Linked DNA regions of Rattus norvegicus. The protein of the gene in region 1 interacts with the protein of each later gene in a biochemical or structural test. Links are inferred from orthologs where the notes say so. Each region holds a gene or a part of one and is shown in the gene's direction. Other genes may lie near its edges.

Evidence for each region.
Region 2: the proteins of Rnf20 (region 1) and Ube2a form a complex in vitro, tested with the Homo sapiens proteins (4 studies listed by BioGRID, with this or other methods). The link is inferred for Rattus norvegicus from reciprocal best matches to the Homo sapiens genes RNF20 and UBE2A.
Region 3: the proteins of Rnf20 (region 1) and Ube2b form a complex in vitro, tested with the Homo sapiens proteins (4 studies listed by BioGRID, with this or other methods). The link is inferred for Rattus norvegicus from reciprocal best matches to the Homo sapiens genes RNF20 and UBE2B.
Region 4: the proteins of Rnf20 (region 1) and Wac form a complex in vitro, tested with the Homo sapiens proteins (2 studies listed by BioGRID). The link is inferred for Rattus norvegicus from reciprocal best matches to the Homo sapiens genes RNF20 and WAC.

Annotation. Positions count from the first base shown.
Region 1 is NC_086023.1:68,782,577-68,789,980, forward strand, and holds part of Rnf20 (E3 ubiquitin-protein ligase BRE1A), read left to right. Parts: intron 1-1,174; coding exon 1,175-1,321; intron 1,322-2,294; coding exon 2,295-2,372; intron 2,373-2,543; coding exon 2,544-2,663; intron 2,664-6,320; coding exon 6,321-6,500; intron 6,501-7,404. UniProt on the Homo sapiens protein: Component of the RNF20/40 E3 ubiquitin-protein ligase complex that mediates monoubiquitination of 'Lys-120' of histone H2B (H2BK120ub1).
Region 2 is NC_086039.1:120,976,947-120,985,009, forward strand, and holds the start of Ube2a (ubiquitin-conjugating enzyme E2 A), read left to right. Parts: upstream 1-3,137; 5' UTR 3,138-3,275; coding exon 3,276-3,319; intron 3,320-3,469; coding exon 3,470-3,550; intron 3,551-3,931; coding exon 3,932-3,957; intron 3,958-8,063. UniProt on the Homo sapiens protein: E2 ubiquitin-conjugating enzyme that accepts ubiquitin from the ubiquitin-activating enzyme E1 and transfers it to a E3 ubiquitin-protein ligase. In vitro catalyzes 'Lys-11', as well as 'Lys-48'-linked polyubiquitination.
Region 3 is NC_086028.1:36,759,289-36,767,394, reverse strand, and holds the start of Ube2b (ubiquitin-conjugating enzyme E2 B), read left to right. Parts: upstream 1-3,451; 5' UTR 3,452-3,527; coding exon of another isoform or gene 3,528-3,552; coding exon 3,553-3,596; exon of another isoform or gene 3,597-5,780; coding exon 5,781-5,861; exon of another isoform or gene 5,862-8,106. UniProt on the Homo sapiens protein: E2 ubiquitin-conjugating enzyme that accepts ubiquitin from the ubiquitin-activating enzyme E1 and transfers it to a E3 ubiquitin-protein ligase. In vitro catalyzes 'Lys-11'-, as well as 'Lys-48'- and 'Lys-63'-linked polyubiquitination.
Region 4 is NC_086035.1:60,653,759-60,661,162, forward strand, and holds part of Wac (WW domain-containing adapter protein with coiled-coil), read left to right. Parts: intron 1-2,308; coding exon 2,309-2,424; intron 2,425-2,837; coding exon 2,838-2,950; intron 2,951-7,182; coding exon 7,183-7,404.

The DNA of each region.
Region 1 (7,404 bases):
AACAATTTATTCTCTTTCATTAGCTTATTTTTTAATTCACTTTACTCTGATCTCAGCTCCGCTCTCTCCTCCCAGTTCCCTCTCACCCAGCCCCTCATCTCTCATGGCTGGTTCTTGATGCTGGATGTCAGCTGGGAGGCGGTCGGTGGCCAGCTGGAGGTCCTGCACGTTTCTTAACATGTCAGCTGAACCACATTGAGTGTTCTAGGAAACAAAGCACATCCTGCCTGATCTTTTTAGCATAGCCTCAGAGTTACACACTATTAATGTTTTTGGCACTAAAGTTGTCCAGGAGCAAGAGGAGGAACAGATCCATCTCTTAATGGGAAGATTGTCAGAGGGAAAACAGTAAGCGGAAAGGTTTGTACAGAGTAGTGGGAACATGGGGCAGTTCCATAATTAGGATGCTATGCAGCAGTAGCTGGTTGACAGCTCCTCAACCGGACAGGGCTGCCGAGCAGGCTCAGTGGACACAGCACTGGCCACGTAGTTGAGATCCCCATAACCTACCTAAAGCTCAGTGCAGTAGTATTGATTTGTAATCCCAGAACTCCACTCCCTAAGACGAGATAAGAGGCAAGGACTGGACATACTTGGAAGTTTGAGGGCCTGACTTAAAATTCTGGCTCAAACAAGATGGAAGTCAAGGACTGATGCCTGAAGTTCTCTGTTCATGTCCATATACAAGCTATGGTGTGTGTACGCACATATGCACACATGCACACAACCTGATTGTAAACTGCTCAAGACTCAGCCTAAATACAGAAGAAGTTTTTTCTTGTTCTATAAAGATTATCATTTCTGGATATGTAGCTAGAGAAAGTTGGTGGTAAGAGATATTTCTGTTTTAAATTATTACTTTCTAAAGTATTTGATAAAGGATGTTTTCTTTCTAAAAGAAAATCTTCATTATCTGAAGGATCGTGGTCTATCTAGGGAAATGGTACTTTTCAAAGATAGAAAGATTATTAAATCTTAACTGGTATTGTCCTTGTGAAAGTTCTTAGCAATTGCTTGTTTTCATTATTATAGCACTCTAAGAACTTTTATTTTTAAATTTGGCTGTTGAATTTTTTTCTCTAATTGTATATGAGTAAGGACTAATTTTATGGAAGTTGGAACTCTTGACTCTATTCTTTTGTTATATTTCTGAATGCTTGTCTTCGGGATGTAGTTCTGTAAGCTGCAGGGTAAAGTAGAGACAGCAGAGTCACGAGTGTCCGTCTTGGAGTCCATGATTGATGACCTGCAGTGGGATATTGACAAAATTCGAAAAAGAGAACAGCGGCTCAACCGGCATTTGGCTGAAGTCCTAGAGCGGGTCAGTGCTATTTATATAGGCTTTTAAAATGACTTACAAATGCAGTTTTAATTAATGTGTATGTGTGTATGAGGGAGGGAATATATGCCATTGTGTGTGCAGAATGTGGCCAGAAGAGGGCATTAGCTCCCCTGGAGCTACAGTTACATAGGGTCGGGTAGCTAAGCATGCGTGCAGGGAGCTTCCAGCTGGGCTCCTGCAAGAGCAGCAAGTGTTTTTACCTGCTTAGCTATCATTCTCCAGCCTCTCCGCCACGCCCACTAGCATATTCTTTCTGTCTTTGAGACTTACATAAATGTATACCATGTATCTTAATCCTATTGATCCTCTGCAGTTCTTCCAGAACCCTTCTCCATATGTCTCCATGTGTTCCCCTCAACTTAATGTCTTTTTTTTTTTTTTTTTTTAAATAATTCACTGACTACCATTTGGGCTTCTATATGCTTAGAGTGGGCAACATACCAAAGACCACACCACAGATAAAAGTGACTTTCCTCCTCTTAGCAGCTGTCAACTGCCGATGGCTCTTCAGTGAGGGGGAGGTAAACTCTTCCCCTTTCCATGCTAGTCTGTTGATTAATTTGATCTTGGGCAGGCAGCCATAGCTGCTGTGAGTTCATAAGCACAGCCACTGTGCCATATCCAGGAGACACTGTTGTTAATGCTCCCACCTTCTAGCCCTTAACAGTCTTCTCACACGCGTGAGTGCGTGCGTGTGTGTGTGCATGCGTGCGTGCGTGCTCATGTTCTCCCATTTTTGGCTGAACACTTGGTTGTCACTTGTTCCTAGTACTTCAGCTGTTTAACTGGTTGTATGCTTGTAGTTACTAACATCCACTACAAATAAAAGCTTCCTTCTCAGAAAGGATCAGCCAGATGCTGTTATTTGAGGAAGAAACATCCTTTGAATGACTCTGGTCTTACAACTGAAGTCTTCCAGCCTCTCACTAAAGAGTCATTGTCTTCTCTGTAGGTGAACTCAAAAGGCTATAAAGTGTACGGAGCAGGGAGCAGTCTCTATGGAGGCACAATCACCATCAATGCCCGGAAGGTACGTCTGCCCCACCTGGGACATGGTGTTTGACTGGGGACAGGCCTTGTGCCTCGGGTCTGCATTGGTTCCCAGGTAACACAGTGGCATTTGCAAGAGTAGAACAGAATGTGGGAAGCATGAAGTGGGATGACCTTCATTCTCATCTGATGCTTTCCTGATCCTTTCTAGTTTGAGGAAATGAATGCTGAGCTTGAGGAGAACAAAGAGTTGGCTCAGAACCGACATTGTGAGCTAGAGAAACTTCGTCAAGACTTTGAAGAGGTCACTACACAGAATGAAAAGTTGAAGGTAGGAGACAGAGCTCTGAAGGACAAATGATTTGTTCATCAGCCTGTGAACCTGCATACTTTATGAAGAACAAGAAAAATTTGGCCAAATTTAGCCTCTTCCATGATAAAGGTCAACAAGTTAGGTATAGAAAATTGTACCTTAACACAGCAAAGGCCATTTGTGACCTGCCTACTGCTAACATGCCTGGTAAAGAGTTGCAAGATTTAGGATGTTTACTCTTGCCTTTGTTGTCAGTATCATACAGAAGCTCAGTCAGAAGAAATGGGCATAGGTAAGAAAAGGGCTCCAGATTAGAATGATTGGAGAGGGAGGAGTAAAGTTGTCTCTGTTTGCAGGTGCCATGATCCTACATGTAGGGGTCCCTGAGAGAACTAGAAACGAGTTCGATAAGGTTGAAGAATGTAAAATCACCAACAGACTCAATGGAAGCGGTCTCATTTTATATAGCAGTAAAAATAGTAAATTTAACCAAAGATCAGTGTATAACAACACTGTGTAGATAGAGTGGATATTATTCAGCTTTGAAAAAGGAAAGTTAGTCATTTGCGGCAGCATTGATATACCTGAGGGATATTATACTAAGTGAAATAAGGCAGGGAGAGATAGACAAATAGTGCTTGAAACATACAGATGCTAAGAAAGTGGATCTCATAGAAGCAGAGAATAGACTCAAAAGGAAACATACTGGCTGGAGACCGAGTTCTCAACAGAAAGGAGATTTATTTGCCTCAGAGGGACAAAGGGCAAAGAGTAAGGGACAAAGACAGGAGATAGAGGGCAAGGGAGAGGGGGAAGAGAACAAGGAAGAAGGAATAGTGGTATTTGTTCCAGAGAGCAAAGAACTGCCTCTGGATAGAGAGGAGATCTTGGGACGTAGAAAAATGACAATTTACAAAGGTAAACAGGGAGACCCCGTGTTAAGATGAGGTTTTAATTTTAACTGCGCATGTTAGTTAGGTGAGCCAAAGTGGGCTTTTGATTTCTGGACTTCAGTATTTTGATAGCTGGGCCATGGCAGTCAGCCTTAGGAGGAAGATGTGGCCAAATAAGGGAATGAGCTTTGGTGACTAGCTGGGGTGTCAGTGGTGAGAGGGCATGCGACTAATGGAAGACACTGAAGAGAGGTTGGAACAACGTGGGAGGCATCGAAGGAGATGATCAGTGAAGTCAGGAGAGTTTGTTGGATGATGACCTTGACCTTAACGCAGTGGAGGGAGGGAGGGAGGGAGGGAGGGAGGGAGGAGGAGAGGGAGAGGGAGAGAGAGAGAATGAATGAATGAATGAATTTGTCTGTGTCTGTGTGTATTGGAGAGATGTCTTTGGTTTAGTTATGTTTTATAATTGGGAGTGTGGGATTTGTTCAGTGTTGATATCTGAGGATGTCTGGACAGTTAATGAGTTTAGTCAGTCAGTTGGTGATGGATATCTGGCAGTCATTTGGGCAGAGGAATAGTTTGAGTGTGAGAAGAGGAATGGGATTTGTGGGGAGCTGGTGATCTTGAGTGAATAGGAACCAGAGGGTGAGGATGAATGTTGATAACGGAGGGGTCAGCCTGATGTAGTTGTCTTGACAGGAAGGGGCTCCATCTATATAAAAATGTAGGCAGAAGTAGCCAAAGGGCCCTCTTGTGTGTGAGAGGAAGAGTAGGAGGAGGATTTCAAGAACTCTTTGACAGGAGTGTCGAAGTTCTGGGTCGGAAAGGCGAACATTCTAAGTTTAAGGAAATGTTTGAGGCGGGGAGGAAGGAGAAGGTCTAAAGAAGTGGGTGGAGAATAGGAGGAGTTTGGGAATTCTCTAGGGTGAGTGTGTAGATGGAGGCTGAGGAAAGGACAAAAGCCTGAACATTCACTTCAGATGTCAGAAAGAAGAGCGTTTAATTCTTAGTTGTGGCATAAGTAGCAGGCCTTTGGTTGTTAGGCTCAGGTCTGAGGAGTTTTTCTGTAGAGAACGAACTTGGGAAAATTGACCTTTCTTTGACAAGGCAGAATACAGTAGTCAATCCAAAAGTGTCCACAGTTCATACAGTATCCTGGCGGCAGGTTTTCCTAGTGCTTACCATCGCCACAGTCCAGGTGCAGGGTTCTATCTTTTTTAGGAGAGCCCTTACAGTTTGTTGTTGTTGTTGTTGTTGTTGTTATTGTTTTGTTAGCACTGGAGTCTCTGTTTATTGGGAGAAGTTTCTGTTGAACGTTTTAAATGCCATATTCAGTACTTATTAAGTATACCTGATTTTAACCTTGAGAACATATACAGGAGACTGAATAAAGCCTATTGTAATTAATCGTGATTGTAAGTATAGCTTTAAAAGTTAAAAAAATTATGAGGTAACTGATAATTGTATGTTTTAATTCTCTTCAATACTTTTTAATAAAGTTATTGCAGCTTTTTATAAGATTAGAACTTGCAGCTTTATCCCTGTTAAGTTTGACCTTTAAAGTCTGAGTTGAAGATTTAATTGGAGATCTTTTAGCATAAAAATAAACCTAAATGTAGTAAATTTGTCATTAAAGAAGATTATTCTTGTAGAATTGAGTTTAAGCAGTAGACAGTGTCAGGACAGGAAGGGTTAATGAGTTGGGAAAGTAGCAAGGGCCTTGACAGAGGGAGGTGGGAGATAAGACTAAATTATACTGTAGCTCCCTTGGTCGCCAACACTGGAGAGCGTGACTTCAGGAGGAGGGGAGCAGTACTGAAACAGCTGGAACAAGTTGACCGAGGAGGGGGGGGAGTTGGAGGAGTTCAGCTGAAGTAGCCAAGTCTGGGGCCTAAGGGAAATGGTTGCTGTGGCCCAGAAGGAAACTGAAGTGTTGGAGAGGCTGATGCTCCTGCATTTGAGCTTTTACTCCTTCCCACAAGGCCAAGCTGAACTGGTGGTGCAGAGTGAGCAGGGATAGCACTGGGGAGTGGGTGGATAGCTGTGGAGAATGGGTGTGGGGGAGGCAGTGTTGGAGCCTTACCAGAGTTTAGGTAAGGCAGAATGGAACTGGAGGGTATTTTGTCAGCTGAGGGCAGTGGGGAGTTGGGGAGGGGACAGCTGCTCAGGCCTGATGGGTGTGGCCTGCAGCCTCAGTGCTAAGTCTGTAGGCATCCTGGACTGGTATTCATTTTTGCCTATTAGAATTGTCCTTTGCAGAATCTTAGGGGAACAAAGAAGAATCTTCTAGAAGTCTTCCTCATCTTTCTTTGATTCATAGACTATCATTTATAATTTATTTCTAGATTAAGGAATAATGAAGATATTTGCACTAAAAGGAAAAACTTCATAAACATTCTTGGAAAATTAAATCAAATGGTTGCTTTGGAAAAACATGACCATTTTTGCTACCAGTCGTAATTATTTTCTCTGTGACAGTGAATAACAGTTACTGGGGTCTTCATCTGTGATTTAGAGCAAATGTCCTGGTCAGGTCAGTTTTACTCAGCTCTTCTTTGGATTAGAGTTGAAACAATGTTAAACACATGTCAAAATAGTGGGTGGCCTGGTTTACTCAGGGACTGAGTTCTACCCAGGAGTGGTAGTCTCTGTTTCATCATTTTTCTGAGTAATGGTTCCAAGTGAGTGTCACATTGGTGAGTTATTTTCCCACGACTGACTTGTGGGGCATACATGCTTTGCTCTGACTCTGGCTTGCCTTTTGTCCGGCCTTCCTAAGGTGGAGTTGCGGAGCGCAGTGGAGGAAGTGGTTAAGGAAACCCCAGAATATCGCTGCATGCAGTCACAGTTCTCTGTCCTGTACAATGAGAGTCTACAGTTGAAAGCTCACTTGGATGAAGCTCGGACCCTGCTTCATGGCACCCGGGGAACTCACCAGCGCCAGGTTGAACTCATTGAGGTAATATTGAACTTTTCTGTGTTTCACTGGTGGGTATGGGAGCCAGCAGTCTTACCCACAAAGCCAGCCATTCCCTCTCCTGCATTGTCTTCTCTATGTGATTGCCTAACTAATGGATTTTGTGCCTCTACTTTCATGCATAGTTAATATCCCATTCCTCAGTTAATATCCAGTGGGCATAAGTGTAAGACAACAGAATTCTTGCCCTCATGGATCTTATGGGAGAATGCTGCTATTAAGGTGCTGCATGATTCAGTGGTAGTTGTCTGAAGATGTGGTGATGGAGAGACAGAGCATCTGATTTGTCTGTGGTGTCTTCCTGATAAGGAAGTGGGTGGAAAGATGGAAAGTTTGTTGATGTGCTCCAGCAGTGACAGCCTTCGTGAAGCTGTGCCTATGACTCATATGTGTGGGGACATCAGGCAGATACTGCCATTGTGACATTCAATGCACATCTAGTAGGCAAATTATTTGAAGGTATAGCTTTTATTTTGGTATTTATGTTCACTTTTATGTTTTCTATACTCCTTTTTAAAAAAGACTTATTTGTTTGTTTGTTTATTTAATGTATGTGAGTACACTGTTGCTCTCTTCAGACACACCAGAAGAGGGCATCAGATCCTTACAGATGGTTGTGAGCCACCATGAGGTTGAACTCAGGACCTCTGGGAGAGCAGTCAGTGCTCTGAACCGCTGAGCCATCTCTCCAGCCCCATTTTCTTTACTCCTTACGGTGGTGTTTAAAGTAGCTGGAGTTTTCATGTATGTTGGCTAAAGAACTTGATGCTAGTTTATGTTTACACCTGGACAGTTTATGGTTCTCCAACTGAATTGTAATCTCAGAGCTAGAGGCCATTTTCTTTATTTCTTCATTGTTCCACCGGGTTATGAAGTCATGTTTCTA
Region 2 (8,063 bases), on another chromosome or scaffold:
TATAAGTACACTGCAGCTGTCTTCAGACATAACAGAAGACGGCATCAGATCTTATAACAGATGGTTGTGAGCCACTATGTGGTTGCTGGGATTTGAACTCAGGACCTCTGGAAGAGCAGTCAATGCTCTTAACGTCTGAGCCATCTCGCCAGCCCCTAATCTAGATTTTATAGTGAAGAAATTGAGTAGATTTTATTTGTTTGATTATTTATTTATTTAGGTACTGGGGATGGGGCATGGAGCCTTAGACATGCTAGGCAAATCCTGAGGATATTCCAGTCCACTGAAAAAGTAACTTACCTGAACTTAGAGGATTTTTAAGATAAAGAGATTATCAAGGTTGGGTCTGATGTAATCTGACAAGTTAGAGAAGTACACTGCATTCTTCTTATAGAAAAAATGTTCAAAGTATGTGAAGGAGCTAGCAAGAGAGAAGGTCACATAGCAAAGAATGGAGGTGGCCTCTGGGAGCTGGGAGTGGTCCCAGTTTGGCATTTAATAATGAAATAGGGCCCCGAGTCCTACAAGCATAAGGAACTGGACTTGACCTGCGGTTTGTGGTGATCAGTTAAGCAGTGAAAGAGAACAAATGCTCTTTTTGCAGGCCTTGCTTTTGCTATTTTCATGTGTGAAATAGAAGACTTCAAGTTTCTAAATGAGGGGAAAAGGATTTTTGAAATTTGGTTTGGTAACCTTATCCCACCAACAGCCATAATATGACACTGTTAGGGAAACTTGCTTTAATGGATATATGTGTTGGGGTTAATCGGGGATAACAATTGTTAGCTAGGGAGGTACCTACCATCAAGCACCTAGTAAAATCACTCCTGTTGGTATGTGCTTTCTAGTCCTGTGCACCTGATGATTTCTGGACATCTTCACATGGCTGTTTCATCACTCCCAGGAGCTCAGGAAGCCCCATTCAAAATTTCCTCTCCTGAATGTGTCCTTCACCCTTTATGCCTACTTCTGTTAATGGCTACTTCAAATCTCTACTTCTTTTTTTTTTAAGGTTTATTTATTTATTATATAGAAGTACACTGTAGCTGTCTTCAGACACACCAGAAGAGGGCATCTGATCCCATTACAGATGGTTGTGAGTCACCATGTGGTTGCTGGGATTTGAACTCAGGACCTCTGGAAGAGCAGTCAGTGCTCTTGACCATTGAGCCATCTCTCCAGCCCTCAGTCTCAATTTTTTTTTTCATTTTCAAAAAGGATTTATTCATTTTATGTATGTGAGTACACTGTCACTGTCTTCAGACACACCAGAAGAGAAGAGGGCATCGGATCCCATTACAGATGGTTGTGAGCCACCATGTGGTTGCTGGGAATTGAACTCAGGACCTCTGCAAGAGCAGTCAGTGCTCTTAACCGCTGAGCCATCTCTCCAGCCCCTCAGTCTCAATTTTTAAAACATTTTCTCATACTGTGTGTGTGGGGGGAGATTTCAAAACGTGAGCAGGATTTAATGTGAGAGAAAATCTCTGTTGAGATTTGAAGCTGTAGTAGGTCCCATGGTAAAGGATGGGCTTGGCCTCTGGGAGGTTTGATTGCCTGGTACAATGTTTCTCCTGAACAGTACCACAAGAGCCCTTCAGGTACTCTCTTGCTCTCTCGGGACAAACTCTGATTAACCCAGCTCTAATGGTGTCGCTTCCTGGCTCTACTACCTTCCAAGGAGTCCATTTGCTTGACATTCAAAACTCTCCCGGATTTAACTCAAACCTGCCTTTCTCATCATTTCCTGCATTCTTAAATAAGTATCTTCTTGTCTGCCTACTAAGTGATTTTTGGGTTGATCTTTGAAAATGCTTCTTTCAAACTGTTCTTGCTTTTGCAGGTGCCTATACTCCCTGTGAGGCTTGCCTGCCCGTGACTTGCAGCTTTCCCCCGAGCGCCTACCTTTCCCTGCCATCTCCTGTCCTTCCAATACTCTTCAGCTGGATAAGCTCATACCTTGGACTCCTCTAAACTAGCTGCTTGGCTTGATCAATTACCAAGGGGAAATGTGGTTCCAGAGACAAGTTGTGAGTGCCCATGGCATTTGTAAAATGTCTATTTTCCCTGCCTGAAGCTCCCATTTCCACCACTGCCCCAATGTCATTTTATTCAGCCCTAGACTTAAAAGTTGGGATTGAATTGTGCACCCTCATCTCAAAGAAGATGGACCCAAAGTCCATTTTCACACTCAAGAGCCATTTATTTATTTATTTATTTATTTATTTATTACTTTCCCCATGATTCTGAGTAGTTACCCCAGCCTCTCGTGTCTGCAGGACCATGACCCTAACATCCTTGCCTTTTGAGAACTTGTTTGCCTGTGCCAACTCTTTCCCCCACTCTCCTGTTTCAACTAATCTTCTCTCCGCTCCTCTTTCCCCGATCCTAGACGTAGTTGGCAGTTTAATAAATCATGCCTTGTCAAAACCAAAGAAAGGTTAAGGCATATTCCTGGCAGGCTGAGGTGACCTCAAGGCCCAGCCTCTGGGATTCACAGTGAGTTTGAGTTAGCCTGTATTACATTAGATACTACAAGAGACCAACCGTACAATCAATCAATCAATCAATCAATGAAGGTGGAAGAAGCAGGGAGCCAACAACAAAACAACAAGTAATTAAAAGATTGGTATGGTGGTGCACTCTTGTAATCCCAGCATTTGGGAGGTGAAAGCAGGAGACTCAGGAGTTAAAGTCATGCTCAACCACACAGTGAGTTAGAGCTTCCCTGGCCTACAGGATACCTTGTTTCAAAAGAGGAAAAAAAGAAAGGAAAGAGAAAGATTTCCTCCCCCACGACCCCCCCCCCCCCAAAGAAAGTAAGTAACTATAAAAAGAAAACTTCGCAGGGGTTCCTCTTCAAATCCGCAAGTGGAGCCCATGCGTTTCCCTTTTAAATTCCCGACAGTTGAAGGCTGCCTTTGCTGCCCGCTTAGCCTTTCCCCTCGAACTTGACCGCCACCGCCCCACGGTCCTGGATTGGGGCTCTCAGGCGGGGCGTGACTGACAGAACAACTTTGGTCCTCCCCCGCCCCGTAGCCGACTTGGTACAGTCCGCCCGGCGTAAGGCGTTCCCCCCCACCCCACCCGCGCGTTCTCCTCAGGTTGGTTCGGCCCCCGTCTACTCAGGGGTGGTGCTTAGCCGGCGCCAGACCGACCCTCGGCTTCGGAGAGGTAGTGCTGTTCCTCTCGGTGCTCCCTCGGCTTCGGCTTCCTCCGCTTCCTCAGGGACCGCGGACCCTGGTATATGCCCTACCTCTGACCCTGCTAAAGCCATGTCGACCCCGGCCCGGCGCCGCCTCATGAGGGACTTCAAGAGGTAACCGGCGTCGGTTAGGGAAAGGCGCTTGAGGGGGCTGCTTGCCCGGGGCACAGGGCGGATCCCGAAACGGAACGGCTCCGGGTGTGGTGGTGAGGGGGGCCGGCCGCGAGTCCCGGGGCTGAGGGGAGCCGCTGTGTGTTTCTGAAGGTTACAAGAGGATCCTCCGGCTGGAGTGAGTGGAGCCCCGTCGGAGAACAACATAATGGTTTGGAACGCGGTCATTTTTGGGTGAGTCTGCGGTCCGGCCCTCGCCGGGGACTCAGGGGACCGGGGCCGGCCCCTCGATGAGCCGCGGGGGGAAAGGGGAAGATAGTTGGGGTTGTTTGGGCCTAGGCGCCTCCCCGGAGCCTCTGCCTCGATTAGCTCCGTTCTCGCTGCCAGGGGAACCGTTTGGGGTTCTAGGGGGGCGGGGTGGGGAGCGGTGGCGGCCTGCGCTGCCTCCAGAGCCCCGAGGGGACAGGGGTGGCTTCCCTAACACCGGACAGCTGTGCTGGACGGAGGGCAGGGATGGGAGACCTTGACAGAGCCGCCTCTTCAGAGGCTGCGGGAAGGTGTGGACCCCCTTGGCTGGTACTAACCGGTTCTTGTTTTTGTTTTCCTGTGTTGCAGGCCCGAAGGGACCCCATTTGAGGATGGTAAGAGAGTTTCTTAGCCCACCTTTCAGGAGCCTACTCACCAGGGAGAAGGGGGTCCCTGGCATCAGCAAGCATCCCCAGCTTAAAGAAGCAGCTTTGCCCTGCCTCTTCTGCCCACCAAAGGCTCAAGTGAAATTCAGTGTGTGGCAGGTTGTTCTGGATGGTCCTATGCTTAACTAAAACTGCACTTTTCTGGGTTTTTTTCCCCCTCCGTTTAATATATCCTGGGTGAAAGTAGTCACTTTTTAAAAGAAGTGCCACAGTGCTGGTATTCAGGATTTTGGAGGTTCGAGCAGTGTTTCTGCTAACTTTAGCCCCCACGGAGATAATTCAATATAAAACCGGTCCACCAGAGACCATCTGGTTCACTATGCGTTCCATCCCGAGGGCAAGAAGTGTGTTCAGCAGTACTTAGTGTGTGCTCTGTTGAGGGCTGAATGAATGCTTGCAAGATTCCCTGACATACAATTCCCTGGCTTCAACAATATGATTCAGAAGGCACATCAGCCTCACTTCTTTAAAGATGTTCTTACATACTTAATTTCAGTATAATGTTGTTCCTTGATTTTAAATTCATTTACAGTGTGTGCTTTCGTTTAGATCTTCTAATTGGTAATCTCAAAGCAACTTCAGAATTGAGATTTGTCTCACAGTAGTACCCAGTGTCCAGCCTACTTGAATGTTGAGTTTGTATCAAGAGGTGCATAACAAACGAGTTAGGCTTAACTTTTAAAAACACACGTTAAGGTCTCTTCAAAATTTGATATATTGAATGCTGCCGTGGAGTCTTATGCCATTAAGTTTTGCGCTTGGAAGGCAGAGCAGGCAGAGGCAGGCAGCTCTCTATGAGTTTGAGACTAGTCTGGCTTACTGTAATTTCAGGCCAGCCAGAGTTACATAGTGAATCCTTGTCTCAAAAATAAAGCAACAAAGAAAAAGCCCCCTTCTAATTTGACATAATTACAGATTCCTGTGCAGTTGAAATAGGTACTATAACAAGTCTATGTAAAGCCTTACTCCAGTCCCATTACCTATTTGGTAATGTCTTGAATGACTACAATAGCAGAATCAAAATGGTCAGTGATACAGTTTTATATGCATAAACCAAATTGTGTGTGTGTGTGTGGGGGGGGGTTGAACCTTTTAAAGGTTTAATTCACTTAAAGGATGATTAGAACTTTCTGAGTTCATGAAATTCTCTGGAATTGGGGGTATTTTAGTAACATACGAATGTGCACAGATACATAGACACATTCACCTTCAGTTTGAAGGTGATAACAGAAACATTTCTAAAACTACTTTTTTTTTTGGTTCTTTTTTTCGGAGCTGGGGACCGAACCCAGGGCCTTGCGCTTCCTAGGCAAGCGCTCTACCACTGAGCTAAATCCCCCAACCCCCTAAAACTACTTCTTATATATGTTGCTGACTCAGACTGCTTTTACTTACTGCTAGTAACCAAACGCTGTGAGGTAAGTCAAAATCAGCCTCGTCTGGAATTTGTCTCAAATACTTAAGATAGTCTTTGGAAACCATTGATAGTTACTAGAATACTGTTAGCTTTTACTCTATCTCACTGGTTAGGTAAATGTTACCTGCCGCAATAAAAAGAAATGACAGAGGACTGAGTGATTCTAGGGCACACAACTTTGGTGAATTTAATGTAAGAGCTAGTCAGTGAAAGAGCTAATTAGACTTAACTTTTCTCTACTATATCGAGATATATATAGTTTTGTTTTTTGAGACAAGGTTTCTTTGTGTAGCCTTGGCTATCCTGGCACTCTACTCAAGAGATCCATCTGCCTGTGTCTTGAAAATTCTAGAATCAAAGGTTGTGCCAAGTCTTTTTTTTTTTTTTTTTTTTGGTTCTTTTTTTTTCGGAGCTGGGGACCGAACCCAGGGCCTTGAGCTTCCTAGTTAAGCGCTCTACCACTGAGCTAAATCCCCAGCCCCGCTAAGTCTTTATAGATAAGTTTTATATGTAGTTCAGTGCTTCTCAACCTTCCTGATGCTGCATCCTTTTAATACATTACCTTATATTGTGGTGACCCCCAACCATAAAATTATTTTTGTTACTACTTCAGAACTGCAATTTTGCTACTGTTATGGATTGTAATATAAATAAATGTGTTTTCCAATGGTCTTAGGTGACCCCATGTGAAAGGGTCATTCAGCACACCCCCAAGGGGTCACAACCCACAGGTTGAGAACCGCTGGTGTAAACCACTTCAGCAATAATGGGCTTTACTTTCACACACACCCCCATTTTGCTCAGACTGTTTTATCTTAGGCACAGCTTATTAATAGCACATCATTTTGCTAAAGTCTGGCTACTTAAGATTTCAAGAGTGCTCCTGATATTTAAAGTAGTATCATTTGAAAAGGTACTTGTAGACTCCATTATCTTCCTGTATTGTTGCCTTTGACATTACTGGTGTTGATTTTGATGGTGTGTATCTATCTCTAACATGGCATTGCTGAAAGGAGTTAAGCTAAATGACAGTATCTGTCTCTGATTCTGTAAAACAGTCTAGTATACATGGATTGCTTCCTCAGCTGTTTAGAGCTCTCACTAGCAAAAGCCAATCCTGGCCTTTTTTTCATTACTTCTAATTACTTTCGGAGAATTTATAATTAGGGAAGAGATTTGGTAGAAATAAATAACAGCTGATTTGCTATCACAAATGTGTTTCCAAATTAAAAGCCCTCACACAACTTTTCTTTATTTCTTGGTAGTTGTTTCTGAACCAGATCCTAGTTAAGAAGAGGAAATCTGATGCAAAGAAAAATTTGTTTTTTGAGACAGGGTTTCTTTGCAGCCTTGGCTGGCCTGGAACTCATAGATCTACCTGCCTCTGCCTCCTGAGTGCTGGAATTAAAGGCATATAACTTAAATACAAAAATTATGGGATATATTTCTTATCATGTTCAAAATTACTGAGTGGGATAATTGTAGTCACTTTTTATGATATATGTGATCTAAAGAATTTGAGTGTGTGTATCTTTTCCTTTTAAAAAGGTATCTCTTTTTTTTTTTTTTTTGGTTCTTTTTTTTTCGGAGCTGGGGACCGAACCCAGGGCCTTGCGCTTCCTAGGCAAGCGCTCTACCACTGAGCTAAATCCCCAACCCCTAAAAAGGTATCTCTTAAAGTCCACTAGAGTGATGATGAATTTTCAGTCACCAAAACAAAATTAAGTCCATATAAATTTGCTTTTTCTCCAGGAAAAGTTAGTCAAATGACAAGAAACATGAGCAGAAAGGGTTAAGAACTTTTTCTGTGTGTGTGTGTGTATGTGTGTTAAGACAGGGTCTCTTGTAATCCAGGCTGGCTTCAAATTAAATATGTAGCTGAGGATGACCTTGAATTCCTGATCCTCTTGCTTCCCTGTCCCAAATGCTAGAATTAGAGGTATTTGTTGTCACATAGGCCATCAAGTCTAACTCTTAACTTCACTTTCAAAGACATTTAATCTATGTTATGTCTTTAGGCAGAACTTATATTCATCAATTCAACTATATCAGTCTTTATTGCCATATACTAGACATTTAACACATTTTTTCTGGCCTCCGTGTGTATTTGTGTTGATACTTAAAACATTTTGACCTCCTCAGGAAGTTTTAAAAAAAATTAGTAAAAACCAGTAAAGATTTCACACAACAATGATGAGTGTTAACCTTTCATTATTTTGTTTTTTTTTTTTTTTTTGGTTCTTTTTTTTCGGAGCTGGGGACCGAACCCAGGGCCTTGCGCTTCCTAGGTAAGCGCTCTACCACTGAGCTAAATCCCCAGCCCCACCTTTCATTATTTTGAAGCCTAGCCCTCTGAAGGTGAGCGCTAGTTTGAAATTGTTTAATAGCCTATGATTTTTAAAATTGCCTTAACATTTGTTTAGATCTCATAAATTGCATTGAGGGTTCTACTGAAGAGGCTCCCCTTACTTAATGTATCTGAAAGAAATGTCTTTTAAATGTATATATTGAATAAGATTTGGGTAAGTCTTAATTTCTAAATCAAGTGAACAAAAACACATTTCACTTCTGAAGATAGCTAAAACTTTTACAAAGATTAGATTCGCTCAGTAGTAGCTAGGTTAAGACTCCTGTTGCT
Region 3 (8,106 bases), on another chromosome or scaffold:
GTTTTCAATTACTGTTTTCCAATTACTAGTAATCTTTTTGTCTGTTTGTTTGTTTTGAGACAAGGTCTACTATGTAGCTCCATACATAGTAGGACTCACCATGTATACCACCAGGTTGGCCTCAAATTCCCAAGAGCTCATCTGTCTGCTTAGAGTGCTGTGCAGTGCGCCACCATAACCACCAGCCCTAGCAGCCCTTTTAAAGTTTTCTCACCACGTGTGAAACGCAAAACTTTTTAGGAAAATAAGTAATTCACTGGACTCTGCCACAGACTGAATGTACAAGGGCGCCTCGGAATGTATTTAAATAACCCGCAGAACTTTTTAAAGGGCTCCATTTTTTTTTTTTTTTTTTTTTTTTTAGAGATCTTGATTTAACTGTAGTGCACAACTAGTCAATGAGATGGCTCAGTAGAAAAAGGCCACGAAACCTCAATAGTTGAGTTCAATCTCTAGGACCTACATAGTGGAAAGAAAACCAACTCCTCCAAGTTGTCTTGTGACCTATACACACAAATAAATATGTGCACAAGAAATGTGCTAAGTAGTGTAAAAAAGAAACTAGTTGGGCTGGAGAGATGGCTCAGCGGTTAAGAGCACTGATTGCTCTTCCAGAGGTCCTGAGTTCAATTCCCAGCAACCACATGGTGGCTCACAACCATCTGTAAAGAGATCCGATGCCCTCTTCTGGTGTATCTGAAGACAACTACAGTGTACTTATATATAATAAATGAATAAAGCTTTAAAAAAAAAAAAAGAAACTAGTTTGCTTAAAAAAAAAGGGGGGGGGGTTGGGGATTTAGCTCAGTGGTAGAGCGCTTGCCTAGGAAGCGCAAGGCCCTGGGTTCGGTCCCCAGTTCCGAAAAAAAGAACCAAAAAAAAAAAAAAAAAAACCAGTTGAGAAGTATTTAAAATTTTGCCACTAACTGCTAGAGCTGGGCTTTGGAGCTTGAGAATAAGGAGGATGGGTACTTGGTTTGGATTTTTCTTCATTTCTCTATAAATAAGAATGTCATAGTTAAGTCTTACAATACTGTATGTTTATTCAGTATTTGTTATGAACTAAATATATGCAAGGAGGAAAGCATGAATTAGTGAGTCCTTGCCATCACAAATTAATTCACAATCCCAGTGCTCAGAAGAGAGACAGAGCTATGTGAGATTGAGGCCAGATTGGTCTACATAGCAAGTTCCAGACCAGCCTGAGCTACACATACCCTGTTTTGACAAGTGAAATTATAGTTCTAAGACTGCAGTTGTAGGCTTCCAGCAAGCCGCCTGGCCAGGAAATTGTGTGAATTTGTTAACATTCTGACTTCTAATACTTTTGGGAAGCACATTCAATGTATCAAAACATTTCATTTTGGATAAAAACCTATCTGGTCCATTTTTAAAAGTAATAAATTGCTAGATAATCGACACAATGAGTTTTTTTTTAAAGTTTCTTAACCATTTTACTTTATATATTCCCACACACATTTGTCTTCTTTCTTGACCATGAGGAAGATTAAGATTGGTATGGCTGGGCGGGAAGAAAAAAGCCAGGCACTTGTTGCCTATCCCAGCTACTCAAAGAGGAGTTGAAGTCCATCCTAGGGGATTTAAAGAGACCTTTCTTCCCCCAAGACAAAGTCTCTCCGTGCTCTAGGTGCTGTGGAATGTGCAGGCCTCTAGGCCTCCAGTCTCCGCCTACCTAGTGCTGGAGTTGAGCCTGTGCACTGCATCCTCAGTAAAATTTTACAGGGCTACGTAAGGCCCTGGAGTTCTACTGAATACCTCAAAAAGAAGAAACGTAAAGGTAAGAATACTTAACTTTTAGCTTAGTCACATTGTGAGGACACAGCAGCGGCTAGCAATACACAGACATACCTGACAATCCTCAAGGTTACTTTTTGGCGGGGAGGGATGAGACTCTCAGGCTGCCCAGAGTGGTTAACATCTCGATTCACTGAGGCTAGCCTTACACTCCTGATCCTTTCCACTTTCGGAATGATGGGATTAGCAGGATGCACCAAGACGCTGGGTTCTCAAGGTCATTTTAAATCATGAGAATTGTTTGAAGAATGGGGGGATAAGGATAGTGGAAAAGGCTAACCCCTCCTGGTTTCAAGGAACTATGTATATAGGAAGGAGTGGAGCAGTAGATTCTCATGCTCTTTTCCCTTCTAGAGCTAAAGAATTCCGCATCTACTCCACCGTTCGGGTCCCTAGAACTAACATCAGTGCTAGAAGCTGAGATTGGGAATTCCAGGAGCTTGCGGGGCGGTGTGTGTGTGTGTGTGTGTGTGTGTGTGTGTGTGTGTGTGTGAAGGCTACTGAACCTGCTGAGAATCACCCCACACACACACACACACAGAGCACTTCCGGTCCGTTTGGCCCCTCTTTGCTATTGTACAAAGCTTGTACTAAGTTACCTCAGACTCGAGATATAACTCCCACCCATGTCTGCATGATCTCTCCCCCGATCTGAATCATTTTGGTAGGTTTCTTTGACAACCAGCAGCCCATTGATATGCCCTAAAAATCACACCCACTCGTTTCTTGAGAAATACAATTGTTCCCCACCGCAGGCAAAATCACAGATTCCAATTCTAAGACTCCATAGATGGAGTCTTTAAGGCTTGGACAATCTATTCCACTCTCATTTCTGTATAGACTTTAAGTATGGAAATCCCATACAGGCTATAATTGATCCAAATGCCCTTAATCCCATCTGATTTGCACGGACCATAGTATTCAAAGCTGTTCATTACAAGGCTTTGCCACACTTTCAGTACCTGTCCCACGTGCCAGAGTTGCTAAGCCACTTGAAACAGAATTAAGTCCAGATTTTTTTGTTCCGTTTTAAAGACTCAGAACGCCAAGTGGCTTCTTCCACAATGTCTCCTTATGCAAAGTCCCAGTACTTGGGACCAAAAGAATAATGTATGACTAGAGGTGTCAACTCCTTAAACTCAAGGACCTGCTTTGTGAGACCTGAAACCAAGAGCCAGGCTAGGCCGTCACGTGACTTGTTCTGATGGCGTCACAGGCACACGTGGTTCTAGATACTTCGCTCCCTCCCCCTCAGGGGTGGATTGTTGACAACGCCGCTAGCGGTCACGTGACCTGACGTCATCCCACCTCCTCTCCCCGAAATCTCAGGCTCCGGATGCACCTCTCTCCCCGTCCGGCCGAACTTGAAACTAGCGACGGGGGGAGCGAGGCAAGGTAGCGTGTGGGCTCCGGCGCGGTCGGGCCGGCCCGTGTCCAGCCTGGGCACGGAGAGGACCTTCCATAGTTCCTCACAGCCAAGAAGCCCCGAAGACGGCCTCCTGCGCCTCCAGGGTCGCGCGCGCGCCCGCTCGCCCCGCCCCCTCTCCCCTCCTCCCAGCGGTGGTACTGGCGGAGGGCGGAGGGATCTGGAGGCGGCGGAGGGAGACGTCATTGCAGGGTTGTTTGTGCAGTCTCGGTGGCGGCGGCGACCCACAGTGATTCGGCCGCTGCGCCGGGGGGTGGGGGGGCCGAACGGGACTCTTTTCTTTCAGACTGACCGCGGGGCAGCTGCGGAGCATGTCGACCCCGGCCCGTAGGAGGCTCATGCGGGATTTCAAGCGGTAAGGGCCCTCGTCTTAGCCCAATATGACGGCCTCTTCCCGAAGCTATGGACTGTAGGGCGGGGATCCGGGATATCCTCCCCCGGTGACCCTGAGGAGGGGGGCAGTGGGCCTGCGGGACCCACGGCAGCCCCGGCTCACCGGCGACTCTTACTCCCTCGCTTCATACCTCCCTCTGTTTGAGTAAAGATGTTCGGTATTATAGCCACCTGCCCTCCCCCCCCCCCCAAAAGTAGGAAGGTAGCCATCGCTGGGCCTAGGTGTCCCAGAGGCCCACCTAGGCCAAATGCAGACGCTTCACCTCCCGCCTCTGCACCCTGCGGTGTCCCCTCCGCAGGTGGTGCTAGGGAGCTTTTCCTGAGGTTCTGGCCTCGCCTGGAGGACCAGTCCAGCTTTGTTACAGGGCCCCGTGGTCTCCTATTTGTAGCGGGGTTGGGGTGAATACTGTCCCAAATCTCTTTCCCTTTCTGCAGTGGTGAGGGTGGGGTCTGCTGCGCGAGGTCCGGAGGTGGTTAGCCCATCCCCCGAAACCCGATCTGCCCCCGCCCACCTGGAAGGACCTTGAGAACTGGCTCGGGAAACCTGGACCTGGAGCTAGCCACTCCGCTGCCAGTGCCTTCTGGAACTAAGATCTGGCTGCCGAATAAAGGCCTATCTATAGCCTCCCCGGCCTGGGAAATGCCTTCCGTCACACTGGAGCTAATCTGATACTCCACCTGGGCCTCCTTTTGGAAAATAGGAGTTTATAGGAAATAAGGGGCTTGAAGGAAGAAAATGACCTCTCCTTCCTCTTCCAGTTGTTTACCTCTCCTTGGAAACGTACAAGTGCAGCAACCGTAACTTGAAATCCAGCGACAAGATACTCCTCTAAGTTTTCTTTCTGGGCAGACCCGCTGTGATTGAGACAGATCTGTACTATAAAAACTTAGATTTGCCTCTCAGGAAGCAACTGCTCGACTTTGCCTTTATAAAGCCCTGTCTGGGGCATTTGGAGGTCTTGGGCCTTGGACAGCTTCATTTAATTCGTTGCTGATTTTAGCCACTTAAAATTGAGGAATCAGGCAGTAAGTTCGTTCCTCTCAGCCCTGTTAGTGGCATAATCTGCTTGAGGTTTTTTGTTTGTTTGTTTGTTTGTTTGTTTTTTAATGTGGACTGATCGCTAAGTGTCCACTTAAAAATCATGACATACTTTGTATGGTGGAAGGCTTTTTTTTTTTTTTTTTTATGATCTGACAGATGAGATGCCCTTGTTGGTGCAAAAGGCTTGAAGTCACTATATTTGATTGGCTCTGTAGCATGCAAATAAACCTTGCCATTATGGCTAATACATCATCCATTATTATCTCTTGTTCATTTTTGCAATTTCTGTACCCGATTGAGTACAAGGTGCCTTTGGTGGTTTTCCAAGGATCTTGAGGTTACATGAAATTGATGATGACGTCTGTTGAAAGTGCTGTATGAAACTTTGTATGAAGGCCTAAGGTAGAGTTGGCCTGAGAGCAGTGTCTTTAAAAGAGAGACTGCTGGAAAGCTAGCTGGAGCTTCTGGCTACTTGAGAAAGCCACTGTCTGAAGCACAGACCATAAAGTGTGGTTCGCTTTCTAGTTAAACTGAATATGCTTTTCAGTTATTTAGTGTATGGAGATTTCCTACGATTTTGTGTTAGGACTGGAGATCCTTGCATGATGAAGGTAGAAAAACTGTAGGCTTTTGTGTGGTTTGGTTTTGGTTTTTGGTGTTTGGTTTTGGTTTTTTGAGACAGGGTTTTTCTGTGTAGCCCTGACTGTTTTGGAATTCATTCTGTAGACCAGGCTGCCTCCAAAGTGCTGGGTCTAAAGGCATGCACACCACTACCACCTGGTAGTTGCAGATTCTCTAAAATATTTTTCATTGCTAAAATTGTAAACTTGTAATGGGTCAAGAGGGCAGTCTGGAAACAAGAGTTCTTCAAGAGATCATATCTTAAATCTTGCTGTGTGAAGAAGGATGACCACCTAGTCCTTTGGGCTTAGAGATCACTGGTAGTATTAGTAAGTATATTAACCTGGTTGATTCTTTTAAGTCATAGCTCATTTCAGCTCCAACAATAAGTCAGTCTAGTCAGTCTCTCAGAATAGGTTCAGTAGAATTTGACCTCACTGACCTTTATGTTCAACTCTGAAAATGACTACTCTGGATTTCTAGATTGCAAGAGGACCCACCTGTGGGGGTCAGTGGTGCACCATCTGAAAACAACATCATGCAGTGGAACGCAGTTATATTTGGGTGAGTTGAAATAGCGACTGCTTAGGAAAAGTAAGTATATAAGCACCAAGGAAAGAGGCTGAGGTGGATCCGAAGCTCACTTGTTGGGGTAGGGGGCACTTTTTTGAGAACCATAGGCCTCCTGTGCTTATTGTGCTCCTATCACTAAGCTGTATACCCAGCTCCTGAAACATTTTATTGAGTCTGGGACATTTATATAAAATTGGTCTGCTCCTTGCTGTTAAGTTTAATTTGGTTTCTTTCCCTTGAGACAAGGTGTTACAGTGTTGATCGGGGTGATTTTGAACTGGGCTGCAGTGATCCTCTTGCTTTAGGCCCTCAGGAGTAGCTGGGATTGTGGGAGTTTGATACTGTACCTAGCTATGGTATGGTTTTACGGTCACTCCAGGTAAATGATCTAGGGTGTAAAGGCATTGAGTGAAGCTGAGTGGTAGAATGCTTGCCTGCCATGCGTATGGCCCTGGCTTGATCCCCAACAATAAGAAGTAAATACTTGAAATTAAGTAGGGTGATAAAGGAGAAGAGAGAAATCAACTCATAAAATGTGCTGTGCACTTGCAGTTTATGCCCATACTGTTGGAGCCGTAAAAACACTTGGAACCAAAGGAACTGAAAACTTCGCTGTGATAAGAATTTCAGCTAAAAATCCTATATGCACAGCCCCCTGAGAAGCCATTGAACAAGGAAGGTAGTTTTACTTTGGGTGATGCTGGGGTTGAATCCAAGCATCTTACTTTGGGTGATGCTGGGGTTGAATCCAAGCATCTTAACACATTGTAGGCAAGTGCTCCATCACTGGGCTTCACTCTTCGCACCTGTGAAATTTTATTGAGATGGACTCTTGACAAAGGTTTGGCCCCTTTGATCCAGCACTTGGAGGTTAAGGTCCAGGCTGCTTACTGAGGCCCTGTTTTACAAAAACAACAAAAAAAGGTCTCCATGCATTTTTCAGATTGTTCTCAAACTTAGGATCCTCTTGCCTCAACATCCTCAGTGCTGGGAACACAGGCTTGGGCCACCATACTTAATACCTTTCTAATTTTTTGTTTGTGTGTGTGTGCGCACACACTCGCTGACTGACTGACTGTGTGAGTAGGTGTCCATAACCCACAACACTCAATATAGAGGTAAGATGACAACTGTAGTCATTTCTCTCCCTCCATCACGTATGTGTTCAAGAAATAGTATGGTGAGTAGTTCTTCCTGCTAAACTATTCTTGCTAGCTCTGTACATCCTTTTTCATTTAAAACTTATTTTGATTATGTATGTTTGTGTAGGTATGGGATTATGGGAGTTTTCCACTACAGCTAGTTATGGTATAGTATCATTTTACAGTCAACCCAGTAATTGGTAACAGGGTTTGAAGGATCCATGTACAAGAGAGCAGGTGCCCATGGAAGCCAGCCAGAGGCCAGTGTCCAATCTCCTTAAGTTGTAAGCTGCCTGCCATGGGTGCTGGGAACCAAACTCCTGTAAGAGGATTTTCTCAAGTACTCTTAATCAGTTAGCTGTCTTATAGGAGTCTACATTTGTAAGTAGTAGGGGACTAGGAATGTAGCTAGCTCAGTTGTGGAAGTGCTTGCCTAACATTCTTGAAGTCCTGGTTTCAATCATCTGTAATCATAGCCTCTGGAAGGCTGAGACAAAAGGATCACAATTTAGAAGCCAACCTGGGCTATTTATGAGATCTTATCTCAAAATCAAAATAGGTAGGTATACTGACTCATACTTAATAAATCCTAGCACTCAGGAGTCTGAGGAAGGAGGATTGCTGCATGGTCAGGCAGCCTGGGCTGTGGTACCCCCTCCCTTTCTATTCTGTGTATATGTGTTGCACCATCCTTTTTAAAATTGTAGTTTGAGGTGGTCTTGCCAAGTCAGGCTGGCCTTATACTGTGCGTCTTAGGTAGTCTCAACCGTTGACTCCCTCCTGAGTATCTGGGAATACACGAGTGTGTGGTGCATGCCCACTTGCACACTCTTGGGTTTTCGTTTGTTAGTTGGTTTTGGGTTTGAAAACAGGATTTCTCTGTGTAGCCTCTAGCAGTCATGGAACTCACTTGTAGCCCAGGCTGGCCTCAAACTCAAGATAGCTACCTGCCTCCTCCTTCCCAGTGCTGGGAATAAAGGCATTTGCCACCACAGTTGGCTGTGCATTGGGCTGTACTATATTATTTTTTCAAGAAAATCATAGACAAGTTTCCTTTTAAAAAGAACTTGATCATTGAGAGCCTTTGTGCTGCC
Region 4 (7,404 bases), on another chromosome or scaffold:
ACCATGCCTGGCTCTGCTGCCAGTTTTGCCTAGAGACAGACTTCTTTACTTACAGAAAGAAGGGAGTTTATCAAGAACTATTGGGACTTTATGAGATTCTTTGTTGTAAGAAAGGCCATGTATTGGACAGGCCCATGGCTCCAGCTGCATATGTATCAGAGGATGGCTTTGTCGGGCACCAATGGGAGGAGAAGTTCTTGGTCCTGCCAAGGCTGGACCCCCAGTGTTAAGATGGGAAAGGGTGGGTGGATGGGTGGGGGAATACCTTCATAGAAGAAGGGAGAGGGGGAATGGGATGGAGGCTCATGGACAGGAAACCAGGAAGAGGGATAACATTTGAAATGTAAATAAAAAACTGTGCAGTTAAAAAAAATTAAAAAAAAATAAGAAAGGACATGTGTATTAATGAGCTGTTAGTGAACAACTCTAAGAAAGTAGAGATATTTTTGAAGAAGAAACAGCCACATGTCAGAGATCTGTTCAGATTTGAATTTAAGGTGGGACTAGATAGGTGTCTTGGTAGAACTTCCTTCTATAGGGAAGGTTGTGACTGTCACTTAGCTGTAACCTCGGCTGGCATGGAACTTACTGTGTAGACCAGACCAGCTTCAAAGCCTTTGAGAGCTGCCTTTCCCGTTCGAGGGCCCTTTTAAAGTCACACATAATTGTGCACTTTTCCTTGGACAGTTTCTGTAAGCTTGATGTTTATTATATATTTTAAAAACTTAGATCATTCAGAATACCAATTAAGCCCATCATGTGTTAATATGCATTTAATAAAACATCTTTCTAGAGAAAAAACTATATTAAAATCTGTGGTTTAGTTGCAGTATTAAAGGATTTAATGTCTCCAACCGTGTGTGTGTGTGTGTGTGTGTGTGTGTGTGTGTGTGTGTGTGTGTGTGTGTGTGTGTGTGTGTGTGTGGTCATTTCGTCCTGTGTGGCTTCTGGGTGAATGCCCATTTTCTTATGATAGTATTTTAGTCATGTGAAAATTTATCTCAAGTATTTCCGATAATACCTGAAAACTGGTTGTCTGTGACTACATGCTATATAACTTAGAAGATGTGGTGTGTGTGTGTGTGTGTGTGTGTGTGTGTGTGTGTGTGTGTAGGACTTGAGTTGTCAATTTTACATACTCTTTTTTTTTCAAGTCCATAAACTTGTCAAGTGTCATTCGTTGCACATTGGTATTTTAAATTACACTCTTACTAGAAATGGGCTGAGATGATAGTTTACTGTTTTCCGATTGCGAAAGTGTCTTGCATTTTTATAAAATAAGATATCCCATTTGTACAAGCTGAAATTTGATAGTAGTATTATAGGCCGGTATATTCCGTGATTATGCATGTTGTGTGGTGGGTAGAGTGCTTTACTGTATAGCCAGTGAGGATTACATGGTAGGTAATTTGGGAGCTAGCTTAAATATAAAGACTATTGCTTTAGGGAAAGCAAAACAAAATAAAAAATCTTGAGACAGATGATAATTTGCAGAATATTCCTTGAAGCACACTGGTTGTTTAGATCCCAGTATCTGCCTGTTCTGTTCCAATGTTCTGTTTTTTTTGTTTTGTTTTGTTTTGTTTTAAATTGGATATTTTTTATTTACATTTCAAATGTTGTCCTCTTTTCCCCACCCAACAACCACCCTCCCCTTCCTGCCTCCCTGCCCTGACATTCCCTTACACTGGGGGGTGGGTGGGGTATTTCAGCCTTGGCAGGACCAAGGACTTCTCCCTTTGGTGCCTAACAAGGCCGTCTTCTGCTACATACACAGCTCTCCAAGTGTTCTTTTATTATTAGCCTTGAATCTTAGTCTGTTTCTCTCATCAGTCTCTCAATCACAAATTACTTCTTGGCTAATGTTAACCCCTTCTGAACAAATATTTAAAAGCTTCTAGATTCTATAGGGTTGTTCAAACAGGTCCTTACTTTTAATCTGCCCTTTTTGTCTTAGACACCAGTTCCATGCAACCTCCCTTCAGGTTTTCCTGATTTCATCATGATTTTACAGGACTATCAAATATCTGTGTAAGACCAACTGAGAAGTTTAAAAGAACAATGTTAGTTACAGTATTATACTGCTACCTTGTGTTTTCCATTTTTTTCTTTCTGAATTCAAGATGTTAATAATTTCATGTTCTTCATATGCCTAATAGTCTATATACACTATACTATAATGCATAAAGGTTTTAATAGATTCTGTTCATATATATATTTGTATGTTTGGTATGAAAATTATTAGAATTTTTAATATTTCACATCAAATGCTTAAGTGGCAGACTAATTTTTAAAATGTGTTTTTAAGCCTTATGATTCTGCAGATGATTGGTCTGAGCACATTAGCTCATCTGGAAAAAAATACTACTACAATTGTCGCACAGAAGTTTCACAGTGGGAGAAACCAAAAGAGTGGCTTGAAAGGTACTTGCTTTTAACGTAGTAATACTCCCTAATTCATTCTGCAGGTCACCATTCTGTGTCATTAAACACTAGCTATTGGTTTTGTACACTAAACTCCCTTTATTTTTCAGTTTTAGTTATGGTCATATTTCTGTGTCTTCCCTCCTTATAAAAGTGTTTCTTGGACATAAGAGCCACCCATGTGGAGGCCCGGGAACACTCAGTAGGCTAGTAGTATGTTAGCTGACAGTCCTTTCGGTGAGAACCATTCTTAGTGCTGTATGCCATCTTCCAGACCAGCTTCAGACGTAAACCATGTTCCCTTTTATCCAGTGTACAGTTTTGTGGCGCATTTGGCCAGAAAGTTGGTATAGAGACTTAAGTACTTAGTGTCATTTTTATTCATAAAGTGATGTTTATTCTTTTACTTCTAGAGAACAGAGACAAAAAGAAGCAAATAAGTTGGCAGTTAATAGTTTCCCAAAAGACAGGGATTACAGAAGAGAGGTGATGCAAGCAGCAGCCACTAGTGGGTTCACCAGTGGAAGTAAGTGGTTGGTTTCCTTCCTTCCTTCCTTCCTTCCTTCCTTCCTTCCTTCCTTCCTTCCTTCCTTCCTTCCTCCCTCCCTCCCTCCCTCCCTCCCTCCCCCCTCCCCTCCCCCTTCTTTTCGCTTTGAAACAGTATGTTTGCTTTGTTACTATTGTTTTAATTTAACAGCTCATAAGTTCCATCCGCATGTGTAAATTGGCATGAAAATATACATGATTTCTATTATGCTGACTGGCTTTTCAGCTCTGTTTCCTGGAAAGGGAAACAGGTGCAGGTAGAATAGGGGTCTGTGTGGTTTTCATTACTCATGTTGCCTGTAGTACAGACTTGGTAAAGAACAAGATTTCCATATTTAAAAAGAGGATTAGCTTATAGTCTTAAGTAGTAAATGATTGAGCCCCACCACACACATTTATTAACATGCTTGGAGGTTTTGACTGTAGGTTCTTATGAATAGCTGACAGCCTTTTCTCCCTTAGTGAGGAAAATCTTGGTCTGTTTTCTGTATCCCACTGTGCAATACTGTCATTTTGGTTATCAAGGAGAAGAAATCAGTATGTAGATGGTCCCTAAAATGGATGTTGTTAGACATTACAATGATGTGAGAGTATACGCAAACAACTCGTCTGTTTTTTGTTTCCTGGGAATACTAGAAAAATCACTTCAGGTAATAATTCTTTAGTAGTACAAAATAAATTTCTTGATTTTTTTTTTTTTTTTTTTTTTTTTTTGCCTGACTGTACTGAGTTCACATCATTGCTATACTCCTCCATCCCTTCCTCCAGTAGCGTATATGTATGTTTTCAACGTGTCTCTGGTTTACAATACTATTGCTGAGATCTAAAACATCATTATCTGTACTTACATGTTAATTCCACTGTGTTTAGAGATCTGTATAAGCTGGATACTGAGGCTTTGAAGAAACATTTAAATCTTTTATAAACTATTTTTCATCCCTTGTTTAAGGGACCCTTGATCTGTATGACAAACAGGTTATGCCATAATGTTTTATTGAGATTTATCCATTGATGTGAGTAATTGATTCTTAATAAGGGGTATTGATTCTTTAATGGCAAATGTATTTAGTGTGAACTTTTAACATAGCAACATTAAATCTTCAAAATATGAGTACGATTATTCTTGATTTTTAGTGACTGATTTCAAGTATTAAGTTAGGGAATTTTACAGAACATTATATTTAATCCTATGTTGCCTCTTGTCTCAGGTAACTAGCTGACTTTGACCAAACAAAAAGAAGCTAAGGTTTTTATTTTTGAAGTAATTAAATAGTATATTGTTTATTGTTGCTAGAGCAGTTGGTGGGCAGGGACTAGTGACGTGTGCATGAAAAGATCTTCTAAAATGAAGAACAAGGAAGCTGTTTTGCTTGTGGACTAGACTCTAGAATGAGTGCTGAATTGGACCAGGCGTTTGCCATTAGGCTTAAGCTAGTAGTTCCCAAAGAGGAAACTTGGTTTCTAGGAATATTGGGTCGCTTTCATTAATTTCACAGTCTGATTTACATCTGCTCCTTAACTGAATTCACATATGTACAGATAATGAGTCCATGGGTCCATAGCTGGATTTGTGGTTGTATAAATTTGTTTTCTAACTTAAGTTTTTCTATACTGACTACCTTTTAAATAAATTCATTCTTCTCTAAGGTTAAGAGTTTATAAAGGTAAACACTAAGAGACCTAATTTTGAATAAGAGATGGGGAGATTTTTGAATGTTTTTATATGTTGTCATATATTCAAAGTCTAATGTTTATAATTTAGAGTTAGAAAAGCCTAAAATGGTCACGCACTCCTTTTTACTGTATTAGGGAGGCAAACAGGCGGATGTATATAAAAGTTAGTGTTAAACTTGTAACCCTATGATCCAGGAGTGTTTTGATGTGCATGCTTTGTTTACTGTGTACATGTGTATAGAAATCAGACCTGCTTAGAACCACAAATGAGATTATTGCTTACCCTGCTTGTTCAGTAGTGTCTCTGGGATCTGCTTTTATTTTGATTCTGCATCTGTTAAACTATTGTCTGCACTATTGAGGTTCATTATACCATCCATAAATTGTCTGCTATCTGAATACTGGGCTGGGTTTTCAGCTATTTTACATTCTGTGATTCATATCTGTCCCTTAATGAACCTAAGCTCCTGTGTGTACAAATGATGAGTCAGTAGATTTGGGGTTGAAGTAATAGTTGTATTTTTTTATCTTAGTTTTTAAAGTTTTATGTAATGGTTGAGAAAGATTTTAGTTTTTCTGTCAAATTTCTCCACTAAGTCATATAAAGTGCTGTAGTAATAAAATCAGTATCCCATTTAATTATTTGACATTGTCAAAAACTATTTTGTTTATTGGCATTTGGGTTGAATGATGGTTGGAGTGAGAAGTTTCTTAAAGATGGTAGAAATGTTACCACATTCTGGATTTCAGAAATGTATGGATAATTTTTCTTTTGGTGTTAAAGCTGCATCTTGATTATTTTTCTAGAATTAATAATATGCATCTTCTAAGCTCAGAGAATCCTCCACTGGGATTTCTTATAGCACTAGTAACATTTTGGATCAGGCAATTCTTTGCTGGAGAGACTGTCCTGTGTTTAAATTGTTATTATACCTGCTAAATTAGCTAGTCACCTCCCACCATGGCTTTGAAATTGAAATGAGTGGGGAGTGGTGGTACAGATATACATTTCTGTAAATTTCCTCTGTCTAGTGATGGTAGGAATCAGTTGCAGCTCCATCTTCCCCAGTTCCTAATCAACTATCCTTTTGACTTATTTTTTTAATAATAAAATATACTTTGAAGTAATACTTTAATACTTTGAAGTATTATTTTATGTCTTCTTCTGAACATTTTGACCTTTACATGTTTTGCTTCAGCCATATACAACTAAAGGAGAATTTTCTAGGTTAATGAAATAAAAATAGGTAATTAAGTGGCGTTGTGTTGTTTGGCATGGTGTTATTCCTGTTGTTTCAGGTAGAATAGCATCCTCTTTGTATCAGGAGACTAAAGTGAGATTCTAATAGTCCATATAAGGTAGAGCTATATGTATTTATCTATACAGGATTTTGGATACCACTGTCACAGTTGAGTCTGCATTTGCTATTGGTTTGATGATAACATACCAAGTTATATTAGATACTTGGAGAGTTTCTTTTGATACAGTTAAGGGCTTTTTGGTGGTAAACCACTGTTTTAAAGGTTCTGTTGTTGTTGTATAGTAGTGGCAAGGTGAAAACTGACTCATAGAAGTATGCAGAAGTATGCTCCTTATACCTTCTTTATCTTAGGGTCAGAGGAGTTTGGATTGTGAAAGACATACATATTCATAGTCTTTGAAACTGTCATGATCAAAGGGCACATCCTTTTGATCTTTTAATCTTATGGTTTTTCTTTTCTTGGATATTACTTTGGAATATTAGTAGGTTTTTTTAAACTAATGACCTTTGTTCACATAATTGTTTAAAGAATTTCCTCCTTTTGTATTACTTTACAGAAGCAAAGTTACCAGTATTTAAACTTCAGGGTTTTAGCTATTTCCTATACCTCCTTTCTGAGCTTAAATTCTTCTGGTTTTTTTTTTTTTTCCCCCCATTTATTCTGGCAATAAGCATAGTTTTTTTGTTTGTTTTGTTTTGTTTTCTGATTATGCCTGCATGCATATCTTGGATTTCTCTCTTCAGAATAACATGTGACATATGAATATGCTACTTTTGCCAGCATTATATAAATATTTTAATGGTTTTGTTTGTGATGCACAATTCAGTATATGATAAGTCATTGAATCATTGAAAGACCTACAGTAAACCCTTAGAGCCTACATTAGCTAGCTGCCTAGATACTCAAAAATTTAGAAATAATGAAGCCAGTGGTCCTTTGTAATTGGACTACTGGATAATTATTTGACCCTGTGATCGATATGTTAAAAGAATCAAGAAAATATTTGCCTTTATATTTTTAGAATTTTTTTTTTTTTTTTAGTAAAATGTTAGACTAGAATCTGAGAATAGATTAATGTTTATAGTTGCTGTATTGCTGTTTATATGCCAGTGTTAAAGTTGCAGCCACTAATTGGACTCGCAATTTAAGGAAAGGAAAATAAGTTCAGGTGTAGTGTTCAACTAGCTGATGTTCATGTCGTAGGATTCTAACAGCATTTGTTTTTCTTCCCCCTTCTGTCATTCCAACATCTCTTTTGGGAACTGTGAACTACAGTGGAAGACAAGCATTCCAGCGATGCCAGTAGTTTGCTCCCACAGAATATTTTGTCTCAAACAAGCAGACACAATGACAAAGACTACAGACTGCCAAGAGCAGAGACTCACAGTAGCTCTACGCCAGTACAGCACCCCATCAAACCAGTGGTTCATCCAACCGCTACCCCAAGCACTGTTCCTTCTAGTCCATTTACGCTTCAGTCTGATCACCAGCCAAAGA